Caenorhabditis elegans: one gene and its partner. The protein of the gene in region 1 interacts with the protein of each later gene in a pairwise test. Each region holds a gene or a part of one and is shown in the gene's direction. Other genes may lie near its edges. The genes, in order: skpt-1 and puf-8.

Region 1 (7,746 bases):
GATCCTTGAGAAGGTTCGTGTACATGTTAACGAGATGTGTGGTATCCATATCCTCACCGAGGACATTCTGAATCTCGATAAGCTTCTCGGCAACCATATAACGAACTCTCCACGACTTGTCATCGAACAATTCAATGAGAATTGGCTCGATGAGTTTCTTCTTGTTAGCCTTATCGAGGAGAGTTCCGAAAGCGATGGCTGACTCGACAGTGAGCAAACGAACAGAATCTTGCTCATCAACATGAAGATCAGTGAGACTGGAGTGGAGACCCTCGATGACGGCAGTCTTCTCAAACACCTTTGCGAACTCTCCGAGCTTTGCAGCAGCAGCACGGCGAACCATTGGGGTGTCATCACGGCACAGGGTTCGGAACATGCTGAAAATAATTAATTTAGATTGCTTTAGTTATTCTTTTCTTAATTCTCACCTCTTCAATTCCGACTTGATAGCTGGACTGACACGTGGATAAACAACAGAGAAAAGCCCACAAGCCGAGGTACGGGATGTGAACCAGTCTCCAGTGGCCAAACGTCTGAGCATCGGCACGAAATGCTCCTCCAATGAGGCCGAGCTGTGCTTGTCGGCGATTTTGCGGAGACTCTCAACGGCTTTGTCACGGACCACGGTCTCCTCGACTGTGGCCAAGTTCTCAAGTGGAAGGAGAAGACAATGAACATGATCTGGACCACCGACCAATGGAGTGAAATTTCCGAGTTGCTCGGCGAGCACAAGCAGAACCTCATCTTCGTCGTAAATCGTGTCGGTCAAAAATTGGATGAGCTCGTTGCGTGTGCGCTCCACACCCAACGCCAAAGCGATTGTGGAGAGTTTGCGAATGCTGTTCAGTCGCAACGTGACATCTTCGTTGCGCAGCTCGTCAATGAGCACGGCAATCGGGTAGAGCGCGTCGTCAGTGGCTTCTTCGACAACCGACATGATGAAGAGTGCTGAAATTTGTTTTATGAAAATTAATCTCGCGGCTATTCAAAGGAGAAAGAACGGGAAGAGAAACGGATTATCATCGGGCATGAGGAGAACAAGAGAGAGAGAGGAGACGCAGTGAAGATAACACAGCAATGTGTTGAAATATTGATTACCGGGTGGTTTTTGGAGAAATAAATTGGAGAGAAAATAGAAAAATTGAGTATTTTGAAAGAACTTGCAGAATCTACGAATAGTCATCTTTGAATATCTGATATTAAGAAAATTAAATTCAAATTTAAGAATGTTCAGTGCTAGAAAACATATTTTTGTTGAAACATTATTATTTCTGTACGAAAATATAGAAAATCAATGAAATGGAATTGTTCAAAGAAGAAGAGTGTGATTTTTAAAGAAACTATTGGAATTTTCGAGAAATCAGTGAAAAACTCTACCACGTGGACAATATTTTCACTGATCTTTCGAAAATCAACTCTGAAACTCGTGAAATTTCGATATTAAGAAATCGCTATAGTGAACCTGACGAACATGCAAAAAAAGAGCGGCGAAAGGAGAAGAAGAGAAACAGCTGCGACAGTGATACGCAGAGAAGCAGAGAACGGCCATCTCTCTCTCACTGCAATAGCACAATCCATCGCGCCTGCGGTCGTAGAGCTCTCATCGATTTGTCGTCGGTTTCGGTGTACTGGACGTGGCGACGACAGAGGGAACAGCGCCGGAAAATGACTGAAAATGTCCTTAAAATAGAATATTTTCAGTGTAGAAGGGAGGATGAAAACACAGGCATCACGTGATTAGTGAACAGCCAGTTTTTTTCTGATATTTAAACAATAAAAAGGCTGAAAATTAATTTGATTCGAATTTTCAGGCAAAACGCGTGGGCATGCTGTTAGAAGAACATCATTAAACATTTAAAATCATCATGGTTTCCTGGTTTTCAAAAATTTCAAACAGGCGAACAAAAGAGAAAAGGACGTCAAAAGCTTTAATAAAATATGCAAAAGTGAGTGCACAATCGAGCTTTTGGTTCTCATTTTTCGCAAAAGCGTGGTGCTCTAGTACGTATTCTTCTCATTAGCTCAGTTTATATATTTACAGAACAGTACAATGGGAGACGGTGCGAATGTGTTCAACACATTCAGCTTCAACAAATGGGCAGACGGCAAGCGTGAAGAGGAGATAGATAAGGAAAGTAGACGGCGACGAGCCGAGCAGGTTTGTGGTGGCTCTCCAAGGTGTATACTAGTGGCTTAATGACAGATTAAACGACTGAAGGAAAGGCTTCGAAAGGAGAGAGCACTGCGTGAGGCTCAAGGTGATGGAGATCTTGATTTGGATGCATTGATTGAGGCGTTACAAAGAGGAGAAGTTATCAATATACGTATGTCAAAATTATTTATTTTACTATTTAAAAACAGTGATAGAATCTTAATCACATCAGGTTTCTAATTGTTACTAATTATGTTAACTGTTCTTACAACCAAGATTTATAACATGAATAGAGAAGGATATTTGATAATTTGGATCCTATTTCAGCTCAACAAACCGATGTAATTGTAACCGAACCTATCGAGGAAACTTCTAAAAGAAAACGAGGGGTGCCAGATAATTTGTCAGATGATTATATCTTTAATGAAATAAATCTCTACGCAAATCGCTCGATCGGCTTGAACAATATTGCAGAGCCGGTGGACATAGCGCCTGTTCCACTACAAAAATTAGGTGAGGAAATTCAAGAAAAACCAATTTAAAATCTACTGTAAATTCAGATCCACTCTCCTTCCGTTATAATCGAAGAAATCAGAATAACGAAATGATCGCCAATGAGGAGCAAATTGTTCAACACCGGCCGAATAACTTCAAGTTTAATAGAATGATACAGGATATTCAAAAATGATTTTTTTTTTCGAAATGATTAATAAATTCTTATACTCTCTCCAAATGATCACAGCAACTAGGCAGAAAAAATGAAGGATGACTCAAACGTTTTAAATTTCGAAACTATTGGAACTAAATGTGTATTTCGGAATAATTAATAAAATGGATTTTAAAAAACTTGTCAACCTCTCACTTCCGAATACAACCAATCTTCGATGAATGAGACAAAAAAGTTGTTTTCAAGAAATAGTTTCAGATTCGACCCTTACTTTGCTTAAAGGTTATTTGGACTTATTTAAAAAGTTATATTACTTTTATTTAATCGTATTTTGATTTAAAAATGTGCGCTTTTGGTGGGAGAAACAAATAAAAATAGCGAAATATTGCAAAAAATAAAAAAATAAGGATAAAAATTGGCGAAAAATGTTCGAAAATTCAGATTTGCGGTGGAGCGCGTTTGCATTGCAAAAACTCGCGCCAACCTAAAAAAGATTACCGCGCCCGCGAGTTCATATTTATTCAAATCAGCCCTGTTTTGAATTTATTTCAAGCAGAAAGTGCTTTTTCCCTTATTTACCACCTAAATACTACACCTCATATCTACTCAAACAAAATGTCTCGTGTCATAGGAAGACTTCCATCAACTCTAGAAGATAACGGACCCTCTGAAAATGAGCATTGCGTGGAGACAGGTAATTGTGTGTCAAAATTCAAATATGATTGACTTTTTCAAAGTATTCTCAGATGAGACCATCTCCATCTTTCCATGCTACAACCTCTATCCAAAGAAAAGCCTCAGGCTTTCAGTTTCCGGAAAGTAAGCTGCAATTATCTCTTAATTTTCTTAATTTTACGACATTTCAGCTCCGAAAAGCTAAAGTCGATAAATCTGAATTGCAAAAATCTCGTAGAAGATGAAATCGCTCCGATCAAGCGAAAAGACGCACGCAGTATTCAGAATCCGTTCAAAAAGTACAGTATTCCCGATGAGATCACTGAACAAATCTTTTCCAATTTGAAAAAGAAGGATCTTCTCTCGGCGATGCTCGTCTGTCATCGTTTTTACGGAATCGGACACAAATCGAGAAATTGGATTATCACCGACGCCCAGGATCGTCCTATTTCCGAAATTTCACTGATTGCGTTGTCACAACGAAAAATCAAAGTTCTTCGTCTGGCAGGAGCTAAAGTGAGAATTTTATTTTATTTCCTATAAAACTAACTGTTTCCAGGCCGATCGAATCCTTCGTGCCGATGAACGGCTCGTCGAAGTTGCACTGCTGAGCACCTCCCGCTTGGAGCTTCTCGATCTCTCTCGCACTAATCTCACTGCCCGCCAAATGCAGATTATGTTGAAACCATGCCAGAAGCTCAAATGCTTGTCAATTGAAGGAAATCAATTGGATGACCACGTGGCAATATGCATTGCAGAGAATCGCGGGCTCCGCGAGCTCGACATCTCGATGACCAACGGAATCACGGCAAATGGAGCCAGTTTGATCTTCAGAAATTGCAAAGAGTGAGGGATTTTTTAAAACTTTCCTGAAAGTGTTCTTGCCACGTGTATCTTTAAATAATTTCTGTAACATATTTCTTGTTCCCGTGCACCTTCGTAATATTTTTTTCAGCCTGCAACAACTGAATCTGGCGTGGTGTGGATTAACACAGCCAATTGTGACCGTAATCATTCATTCCATTGGCGAGAAGCTCAAAAAGTTGAATCTCTCGGGAACAGTTCGAAACTTCGGCATCAACAATAAACGTGAGCGGCTCTGTTGTCAGAATCTTCTAATTTTCTGTAAAAAATTCCAGATATTGAGATTCTCGCCGCAAAATCCAACTACGTCACCGACCTCGACTTGTCGGATAACGTCGAGATTAGTGATCCAGGCCTCGCAGTGATTCTGAACAAATTCCCGAGACTTACGACAATTTCTCTCAATCGATGCTACGGATTGGACCCTAATATGGTTGTGTGAGTTTATTTGAAAATTAGTTTAATTTATTTAAACAAAACATTTCCAGACACTTCAACAGTAAGCCTTCGCTCGTTTATCTCAACGTTCATGGCTGCGTCTCTGACACGAACATGGAGCTTTTCCTCGAAATGTGCTCCAATCTGAAGGTCAACCGTCAGTACTTCAACTTCACCGCCAAACCGGTCAGCTACCAATGCGAGTCGAATATGATCTGGGGACAGACAATGATGGATATCGAATAGATAACAATACATATTATTTTAACTGCACTTCTCAATTGTCCTATATTTCTCTAGTTTCTAATTTTCTTAACGAGTTACGTGACAGTTAACACCCAAAACTTGTCAAATAAAAGTTTCGCTAGTAATATTGAATAATGCATTTTCATTCGACACCAAAAGTAACCGGGACGAGGAATGGACACGCGTTTTAAAAAATACAACGGGAAAATGGAATTTAAAGAAAAAAAGGATAAAGGAGAAAAAAAAGGATAGAAAAAGGGAAAAAAAGGATAGAAAAAGGGGAAAAAAGGATTGAAAAAGGAAAAAAAGCTTTTGCTGGAGGAGATCACTGAATCCGAATGACTACTGAAGAATTGTTGAGCCCGTTTCTTTCATGTCCTTGAGAGTCGACTTGAGAATATTACGTTGCTCGAGACTCGGACGAACAATTGTCGCGCTGACTTCAATGCTTTTGTACGGCACGAGAATCACGTAAACCACGTTGCACATTTGAATTGAGCTCGAAAACTCTTCACGGTTTCCGGATTCCGCATTCGGATCTGCTGGCCAGTAAATGGTAAGCTTCTCGGTCGATTTGTTGAAGTCTCGCTTCATTTTCTGAAATTATTCGGATTTTTTTTTCGTCATTGTTTGAAATCTATACTCACATCCACATAAACTCTCTTCACAACTCCATACTCAACGATGAGGACGTCGAATGAGAGATCCATTACACCAAGAACAACAGCTTGGCACTTCATCGGACCGGTTTGATGGATGAAAACTCCAAAATAGAGCATCGCAGACTCATCCGAAGCTTCCTTCGATGCGAGCTTTGTGTCATTGCAGCGGGTGCACTGAAAATTTAAATGCAAAAATTTCTTGAGTGTTTGAAAACTTACAATCTCCTGTATCTCTTCAGGAACTCTTTCAGATCTTTCATTATAACCAAGAGCAGCAGCAAGTTGTCGATGAACAATCACATCTGGATACCGACGAATTGGCGATGTGAAATGTGTATAATGATCCACGTTGAGAGCAAAATGATGATAAAATGAAAGAGGCATCTCGAAAGTGCAAAAATATTTCGCCTGTTGCATTGGCTTAATTGTCAATGAGGAAATTACTTGTCGAATGCACATATCCAAACGGGATTTTCCTTGATACTTGCGAAGTGACGTGGAAAGTAATCCAGACGTTCTTCCGTCCAATGGAAATCCAATTCTTGCACATTGCTCAGCCACGTCCTTTATCATTTTCTCTTTTGGTGGCGGGTGATTACGAAGAAGGGCGTGTTCTGGGAAATTTTCAGCGATCTTTTTAGCCACTTCCATATTGGCGAGCAGCATGAACTCTTCTACGAGTTTATTCGAATCTTTGATCTGAAATTTTAACATTTGTATTTTATAAAATTGGCAATTCTTTTTAAATTTCCGATTTTTGAAAATCTAAATTTATGGATTACTTTTTTGTTGCTAGAACCGAAAAAATGTGACCAAAAAATTGCTGTTTGAAAACAAAAATTAATATAAAAACACATTTTCTTTAACAAAAAACTGTTTATTAACCTCGTATATAGAAACTCCTTGTGGCTTCTTATCCTCATCCAATGCAAATTTCAATCTGGGAAGCTCGATCCGCAATGCTCCACTATCTTCACGCTTTTGTCGAAGAACTTGCGCGATTCTGTGCAACATCAGAGTCTTTTCCTTGATCTCAAAAGGCGTATTTCCATCTGAAATATCGGGAAGCTCGTCGCATGTGAAGTCCTTCTCCGGGTTCTCGATGAAATCCTGTGCATGTTCGTAGGCAAGTTTAACACGGGATCTGATAACAGATCTTCCAAACCAAACATCATACAGCTCGGCTTCGTAGCTCATTTTGAATACAGTTGAGAAGGAGAGGCGATCGACTCCAGGGTTCAAAGAGCACAGCTGCTCACAGAGGATTCTTGGAAGCATTGGAATTACAGTTTGTGATAGATAAGTACTATTTCCACGTTCGGATGCCCATTTGTCAAGCTCTGTACCTTCTTTCAGGAAGAATGTAACATCAGCAATATGAACTCCAATCTCAAGGCCTGGAGTTCCTTTTCCGTCACAATCATCGATGTGTTTCGCGTGAAGAGCATCGTCGAGATCTCTAGCGGTTTTTGGATCGATTGTAAAAACGATGTCACTTCGGAAATCTCTTCGGTACTCGAACTCGGCATCAGGGACCTTCCAGTTTTCGGCTGTAGTGATTGGAAGTGATTCGAGGCATTCGTCGCTGAACTCTCTGTGATCGATTTGGTGCTCGTAGACGATTCTTTCAGTTTCTGTATCGATTTCTCCGGACATGCCAAGAAGCTTCACGAGTCTTCCATCGGCATAAACAGATTCAGCGCGCCAATCAGTGATCTTAGCTGTGTAAAGGAATCTCTCAAAGTCCTTTGGGCGTGAGAAGAACTCCTTATCCACATCGGATTTTGGAATGAGAATTCGAGGGACACGAGAATCTGTAGCAACGAACAACACGTTGGGATTCGCGCTGTTTGGCATTAGCTGGAGCTTGCCGGCGGCTACACGGAAATGTTTCTTCTCAAGGATATGAACAATGGCTCCGATGGTGATGAGACAAGAATCGGGAACTTCGTCACTTGTAACTCCATTGTCTTGAATTTCGTTGCGCAGACATCGTTTTTCTGTTTTATTTGGGCTATTGTTGTCCGTTTTGCCGCTATTTC
Region 2 (8,099 bases), on another chromosome or scaffold:
CAAGTTTCTTTTTGATGCGTTCATTTGTTGCGGTTGTGCGTGAAGAATTGCCGGTTTGACTCTGAAAACTTCCCACCGATGAACATTTTAATAAATTAATAACTCACTCTGAAATTCTCAATAAATCCATTTCCATGTCTGATTTCGCTGCTTGTTGAAACATCGTCCATTTCTCCGTCGGAACGATTTTCAGTGTCGCCGCGCATTTGCTTAGCCTGCAATTTATTTTTTCTCACATTGAAAATATTATTTAATTACTACCTCTGTACCTTCAACGGTGCTGGCTGTGCGCTTTGACGATTTTCGAAGCTGTTTACTTCGACTTTTTTCTGTTGAAATAGTCGGTGGTGCTCCAGATGTCATCCAATTTGTTCTGTTGAAAATGTTAGATTATTAGTATCTCTGAAGAAACAAACAGGACGGTTGGCGGTTTTATATAGAAAGATATTTTAAGATTAAAATAAAACGATTGGATTTAAAATTTCCTTTTCTCAAAATTAGATTTCCGCAGTTTAGAAAAACAATTTGGCTTAAATAATATTTGAAATGCCGAACTCATGCATTATTTTGAAGGCAAACTGAGGCCAAAGACGTTTGCTGACGCGCGGCGTGCTGGCGCATCTCTAGTGCTTGAGAGGCTGTTCATATTGAGAGACGCAGACTCTGCATAAAACTGTATTTATTATAATAGTAGGTCTACAATTATTTTTGTAAAGATTTTCTACAATGTTTGATCCTTTCATTGGAACCAAAAATTTATCAATTCAGCATTATCAAAAAAAGAGAGTATATCCAGTACTTGACCAGAAGAAGACAATTCCAACATCTGTGTTTGTGTTCATTTAATAAATATTTTATTAATTTCAACATGGAAAATTAGGTCAAAATACTTTGAAAAAAACAACCGAGATGCCTGAAAAATGAAAGAAAATTAGGGGACCCGATAGGAAAAGTCTGTTTAATTATTTGGTAGAGTAATAAAACTAAAAATGGAAAGGATTTGAATTCATATGAACTCGGCAAATCTCGTTTGGAAGTCGATGAGAAAGAGGGTTCGGTGCAGAATATCTAGAATCGGTCGAAACAAGAGTAGTAAACGGTTGATGGGGAATGAATAGATGATTATGAGAAAGACCTCCAACTCTTGTAGACGGTAGAAATGGATTTGGGGCTGCAGGTGTTGGAAGAATGAAACGAAGTGGAAGAGGAGTCTGAAATAATTGATAATTCAGATGTATTAAAGATTTAAACCTACAGTAGTAGTTGCAACATTTCTCATCGATAGAGCCTGTTTCAATGAATATTCATCAATCATTTCATTTTTTTCCAATGCCTTTGAAATTAACTTCAAGATAATTGGATCAACAACTGTTTGAATACTTGAAAGTGAAGAAGAAGAAGCTGATGGCATTGTTGCAGGAGTCTTGGTTTTATCAAAATTTGGTTGTCTAGTTGTGGTTGAAAATGGAATCGTTTGAAGTGATATTTGTCTTGGAGTTGTGGTAGTTGTTGGAATGGCTGAAAATTGACAGCTTTAATCGGATGTTAACTTAATTTATTAATTATAAATTGCAATTTTGAAAATGTTGTATATACTGAATTTTTCAAATAGTTGTCTTGTAGATGTTACCTGTGGATGTTCTTGTTGTGGTTGTCATAGTAGTCGTGGTAATTTGAGGATTAGTTTTAGTAGTGAAAACATTGAAAACTTCTTTCTTTTTTTCTGGTTTCTGTGATTTTCTTGGTTTCATTGTTGTAAAAGTGGCTCTATACGGAGAATCAATCTTCGTAATATCAATGACTGGAGCTACTGGAACTGATGCAACGGGTGGTAATTGGGGTTTAAATTGTGAAGCAGCTAATAATTCAATCATATCCTTATCTGGAATAATGAAATGTTTAATTTTCATAACAAATATCTCGAAGAAAGGAAATCACCTTTCCCGAGTTCAAACAAATTCTGCCACGGACCTTCCATTGCAAAGAGAGGACTTTGACTAACTACTGGAAGGAATCGAGAAGTTACTGTAGAGTTAATATTCAAAAGTTTGTGAAGCATTTCACTAAAATCTCTTTGTGGTCGTGTGCCAGGCCTGAAACAAGATTATTTGAAAATGCAGAATATTGGATGAACTTACAATGGTTTCGAGCTTCTTTTGCTACGTTTCCTTTTTGATTCTCCATACATTCGTCTCATTTTAACTAACTGTATTTTCTGTTTCTCAAAGTTTGTTAATGGTCGGATAAGATGATCTCCAACGTAGACGTGATTATTCTAGAAAAAAACCGTATTTGTTAATTGTAGTAATTAAAAAGTGAAGTGACTATTTCATAGATTCTGACAAAAGAATACGGTAATTGGTCTCGAAGCGTCTTTGACCTATCAATTTCCGATCGTGTCGACCCCTGATACCGTAATATTGAAGATTTACATTAAAACCAGATGGTTCTAACTATACACAATTGGAAAAAAAAACTTACTCGAACAATACAAGAATCCAACACCACTTCAATAGAATCATCATACCCTCCACAGAATTTTGGAATTGTAGGAAACGAGGCTTCGAAAGAATCAAATGAAGATGATGAACTGTAAAACGCTTAATTTTCAAAACAATCGAGAATAGAATGACAAACTCTTTGAATGCACTTAGATCATGCTGATACGAACTAAATATGTGTAGTTCGTGATCATTCAACTTTCGCTTGGAAACACCATGAAGGAATAGGGTACTGTCCTGAAAGATTTGGAAGATATTTTCAAATTGTTTTCTACGAATGCTTACAAATACAGCACATGCTGGTCCAACATAACCATATCCAGGTTGATATTCAGGTGGTGTATTTAGAATTAGGGCATTACCAATTAAAGGTAATATAAAATAATGAAGACTTTTAACCATGGCAACCAAAGGGTACACCTAGTCAAAGACTCTATTTGGTCGTGATGAGTTCAAGTTACGAAGCAAGAACAAAGATGGGACTGTGAGGAGACAAGGGGCGTCGCTTCTCGGCACACAAACTATGGTGTTGTTCCCACGGCCGGAAGCTGCTTTACACGAACCTTATGCAATCGGACGCTCTATGTTCGTACACACACACAATACGCTCGTACGATCGGCCAGCCTGCAACCTTTTTCGATGTGAGGCTTTGTTTTCCAAAATTAAATATACACAAACAGACAAAATCTAATTCTCGTTAAAGGTCAGAAAGGGGTTGGAATGGAGATGACAATGAAATAGAGGTGGGAGGAAATTTGATACGATGGCCGGCGAACGGACGGTCGGGAAGAAAAAAAAAAACTAAATTTGTCGAGAATCTTCACGTTGTTTGCTTTTGCATGCTCTACACACTTTGAAGTTTTTGAAACGGTCATTCGACTCCCGAGAATAAAAAGATGAAGATGTATATCCATTTCATTGTAAAGAAAGAATCAAAACGGTCAAGCTATGTTAAGCACAAAGCACATGGAAAATAAATTTAGAATATTCAATACTATGCATAACAACACTCATTCATACACTTTCTGCCAGTTCTGAAGAGTTGAGAGTGAGGAAATATCGACTTTGGAGCAGGTATCTCTGAGAGCACAAGTATATTCAATTGATCTACTTAGCATTTGATCTCCAGAAAAACGGAGATTAATATAAATGCTATGTTTACATTTACTGTTACATCTACACAGGGTCTTCACTAGGTCAGCTTGGGATTCGTATAAAATTAGGTCCCTGAAGAATTAGGTCTCGCCGCGAACTCGAATCACATGGGTTTTCAGAAAATACAGTACCCGACACCATATTGAAACTACATAATCCAAGCCTACTATTTTTTCAAAAAGTCGAAAAAAATGTTTTTTCTACTCTCCTACATGCCACGCCTCCTTTCAGCATATTACCTTTTCGTATATTAAGTTTTTCACCAGTTCTCCTTTCCATGGACTCTCAAGTGCGTGCGGAACCTCAATAATTTAAAGGAACATGCATTTAATGGAGAAATGGGTTTCACCACGAACACCACGACTACGGTATTCGTTCGAAAATTATCCGAATAAATACGGAACTCCTGTTCTAAATAGTGATTTTTGATTGTTTTTCATTGTTTTCTCATTTTAATGTTCTAAATTCTCATGTGCAACTATTTTAATTAATAAAAATAAATAAAGTACGCGTTGCAATTGTTTTTTCAAGCTGAACTATGCCTCCTTGACCTAAAGTAATTATTTTAGGGGTAATCTGCGTTCCTGATGAGTCGTCCGATTTCAATTGGGAATACATGCACATTTGATCCTTCAGCTTCTCCGATTGAATCTCTTGGGAGGAGCATCGGTGCTCAGAAAATAGTGGATAGTGTATGCGGATCTCCGATTGTGAGTCTTGTTTATTGCAATATTGAAATTATTTTTTATTTTGAATAGAAATACAATGTTCATGCAATAAATCACACTGATAGATTTGCCGCAGTGTTTGTCAATTAAATTTTCAATAAAACAATGATTTCAGAGATCGTATGGCCGTCATATTTCTACCAATCCAAAAAATGAACGCCTTCCCGATACACCAGAGTTTCAATTTGCCACTTACATGCATCAAGGAGGAAAAGTAATTGGCCAGAATACATTGCACATGTTCGGAACTCCACCATCGTGTTATTGTGCTCAAGAAAATATTCCAATCAGCTCTAATGTCGGTCATGTCTTGAGTACTATCAATAACAACTACATGAATCATCAATACAATGGTTCTAATATGTTTTCGAATCAAATGACACAAATGCTACAAGCACAAGGTTAGTAAAAACATATTTCGAATATGGAAATTCTCCGTTTTTACAGCATATAATGATTTACAAATGCACCAAGCGCATTCTCAAAGTATTCGTGTACCGGTTCAACCGTCTGCCACAGGCATATTTTCAAATCCCTACAGGTTTTTTTCTAAACTCAAAAATAGTTTAAATATTTGTATATTTCAGGGAACCAACAACCACCGACGATCTTCTAACTAGATATCGTGCAAATCCAGCCATGATGAAGAATTTAAAATTATCAGACATTCGTGGAGCACTGTTGAAGTTTGCCAAAGATCAAGTTGGCTCGAGATTCATTCAACAGGAACTTGCTTCCAGTAAGGACAGATTCGAGAAGGACTCTATATTTGATGAAGTCGTTTCCAATGCTGATGAGCTCGTTGATGATATTTTCGGCAACTACGTAGTGCAGAAATTCTTCGAATATGGCGAAGAAAGGCATTGGGCTCGGCTCGTCGATGCAATAATTGATCGTGTACCAGAATACGCGTTTCAAATGTATGCCTGCCGTGTTCTTCAGAAAGCTTTGGAAAAAATCAATGAGCCACTTCAAATAAAAATTCTTTCTCAAATCCGACACGTCATCCATCGTTGTATGAAAGATCAAAATGGAAACCACGTGGTTCAGAAGGCCATAGAGAAAGTCAGTCCACAGTACGTCCAATTCATTGTCGATACGCTTCTAGAATCCAGCAACACAATTTACGAGATGTCTGTGGATCCCTACGGTTGTCGTGTTGTCCAACGTTGTCTCGAACACTGCAGTCCTTCGCAGACGAAGCCTGTTATCGGCCAAATTCATAAACGTTTCGACGAAATTGCAAATAATCAGTACGGAAACTATGTGGTTCAACACGTCATTGAACATGGAAGTGAAGAGGATAGAATGGTTATTGTTACTCGTGTCTCCAACAATCTATTCGAGTTTGCCACCCACAAGTACTCGTCGAACGTTATCGAAAAATGTTTGGAACAAGGCGCAGTTTATCACAAGTCCATGATCGTAGGAGCTGCGTGTCACCATCAGGAAGGGTATGTATATTCATGAAAAATGTAGATATAATTATTTCATTCAGATCTGTACCGATTGTTGTCCAAATGATGAAAGATCAGTACGCCAACTACGTTGTTCAGAAAATGTTCGATCAGGTTACATCAGAACAGCGCCGTGAACTCATCCTAACTGTTCGTCCACACATTCCCGTTTTGAGACAATTCCCTCATGGAAAGCACATTCTTGGTAAGATATTGCAAAGAATGATTTAATAATATTCAACCTTAATTTGCAGCAAAACTTGAAAAATATTTTCAAAAGCCGGCTGTCATGAGCTATCCATACCAAGATATGCAGGGATCTCACTAGCCCAATCAGTTTTGTACTATTCCCAACACTCAACTCCTCACAAATGTACCTTTAGTTATCTCAAATCCGGTTGTTATACCGGTTCTTTTTGTTATTCCCTGTGCATTTCTGTAGACAGCTTATCGTAATTTGTAATGTTACTCGTTTTGTAATTTTTTCCTAATCTTATTTTAGCATAAAAATTTGAAAAAAAAGTTGTTGAACATTTGTTTTAAAGATGTTTATATATCTCCCTTATATATCTTGAATTACTTGAAAACCGTTTTCGCACAAATCTAAATGTTTGAGATGGAGTCTGGTGATCATCTCGGAAATCTTTTCGATGATATGGTAGAAGAGGATAACGATGAAGATAGTTTTGAAGAACCTGCGTGTGAAGACAGTTTTGATTCTCAAGAAGCTTCATCGAAAGCTAACGAACCTCAAAACGACAGTTTCGATGAGCCTATTCAGAGCTCAGTAAGTAAACAAAGTGATGATGCAAACGGAGAAGATGAAATTAATGAAGAAGTCATACAAGAACAGAAGGAGCTGGATTTAAATGAAGAGGACTTCAATCTTTTGACGATTGGTTTGTTTGTGAGTATATATAAACGTTATAAGACAATCATGTTACAGAAGAAGTTCCGTTGGATGTTCTGACAGCTCGTATAAGAAGAGTGTTCACCGAAGTCACATATAGAGCAGAGCCTGCAGCGATAGCACTTTTTGACGTCGCACACAAAATAATTTTCAAGTCAACTATGTTAGATTGCAAACGGAATACTGTTATTGATTCGATAATTGAAGGGCTTATATCGATTATTGTTGATGAACGAGAACGAGATCAAGGTGCTGAGGAGGCCGAGCATGTACTTATGATATTCATCGCAAAACTTGCAATTAAAAACAAGTCAATGAAGTGCAGTGATCTTCTATATAAGCTGATTCTTCTTGTCGATCGTCTTTATTTGCACGCTGATTCTTTCGTTCGTTGTCGCATTTATCGACTCATCGCGTGTCTTATGGAAGAAGCGAATCGGTATGCTGATGTTATGCGGGAGCATGGAGATGACGCATTCCTCTCTGATGAAGATCCTACAGAGAGTGAAGTTATGATTCCAAGCGGAGTGAAAAACCGATGGATGGGAAAATTGGCGAAGAGTTTGTTGGACAAGTCGCCAGAAGTTAGATGTAAAGCTGTAATTGCTCTATCACTGTGGGACCACGATATTGAATGTAAAACCACATGTTGTGATGAAGTAACTGTGAATGATCGTAAGTTGGCAACACTCTTTATTAACCAGAATTCACGTTTTTTTACAGTTTTGTGGAAGAGTGTTCATGATGTTGATGAAAGTGTGCGTGTCAATGCAGCTCGTCGAGTTCACATTGCGAATGAGAACGATATTGATAAATGCATCGACTACGTCGAAACGAGCAAGGATAATCGTGTTAAACAAGCAATAATTGTGAGATTAGCATCTGATGTTTCATTGCTCTCGTTTTCTGAAAAACAAAGATTCCGGCTAGTAAATCTCTTAAACAACAGTGATAGTGGTAAGAAATATATGCTGACCAGTGTGATTCAATTGATTTAATTGATTTTCAGCTCGTGTACAGGATGTTATTCATCAACTTCTCGTCGAATCTTGGATGAAGGTGGCTGGTGATGAGATTATCTCTCCTTCTATATTTCCATTCCCGGACTCAGATAATAATAATATTCCTAAAGAATTTCCAAGTATCATACTTGAATATCTCGATCCTTTAGTTGATCCCACTGCAGTTTACGTCTTTGTAAGTTAGAAAGCTTCGGTTGATTTCCTACAAATTGAAATTCAGATGAAGTTCGCCACTGTTCGTTTCATCCAAAAATCAACCGTTCAGCAAGCATGCGGCTCTCTAGATGTTGAGAAGTTTATGAAGGATCTGCTTAGTATGACAATT

What was found.
Region 2: the proteins of skpt-1 (region 1) and puf-8 interact in a two-hybrid assay, tested with the Caenorhabditis elegans proteins (one large-scale study listed by BioGRID).

Annotation. Positions count from the first base shown.
Region 1 is NC_003281.10:5,443,932-5,451,677, reverse strand, and holds skpt-1 (F-box domain-containing protein), read left to right. Parts: upstream 1-3,398; 5' UTR 3,399-3,434; coding exon 3,435-3,513; intron 3,514-3,556; coding exon 3,557-3,638; intron 3,639-3,685; coding exon 3,686-4,010; intron 4,011-4,053; coding exon 4,054-4,340; intron 4,341-4,449; coding exon 4,450-4,583; intron 4,584-4,633; coding exon 4,634-4,796; intron 4,797-4,846; coding exon 4,847-5,042; 3' UTR 5,043-5,165; downstream 5,166-7,746. Other genes in the region: paa-1 (putative serine/threonine-protein phosphatase PP2A regulatory subunit), read right to left, coding at 1-377, 429-937; F48E8.8 (Hsp20/alpha crystallin family protein), read left to right, coding at 1,866-1,946, 2,042-2,158, 2,204-2,324, 2,480-2,665, 2,713-2,840; disl-2 (DIS3-like exonuclease 2), read right to left, coding at 5,385-5,639, 5,690-5,878, 5,924-6,403, 6,590-7,746.
Region 2 is NC_003280.10:7,294,375-7,302,473, reverse strand, and holds puf-8 (PUM-HD domain-containing protein), read left to right. Parts: upstream 1-4,226; 5' UTR 4,227-4,244; coding exon 4,245-4,367; intron 4,368-4,500; coding exon 4,501-4,786; intron 4,787-4,832; coding exon 4,833-4,926; intron 4,927-4,972; coding exon 4,973-5,839; intron 5,840-5,883; coding exon 5,884-6,047; intron 6,048-6,096; coding exon 6,097-6,170; 3' UTR 6,171-6,359; downstream 6,360-8,099. Other genes in the region: cul-4 (Cullin-4), read right to left, coding at 1-61, 108-215, 262-363; C30G12.1 (uncharacterized protein), read right to left, coding at 984-1,211, 1,256-1,518, 1,631-1,882, 1,939-2,093, 2,139-2,275, 2,482-2,590, 2,638-2,738, 2,787-2,903; C30G12.6 (uncharacterized protein), read left to right, coding at 6,459-6,741, 6,789-7,427, 7,476-7,709, 7,762-7,949, 7,995-8,099.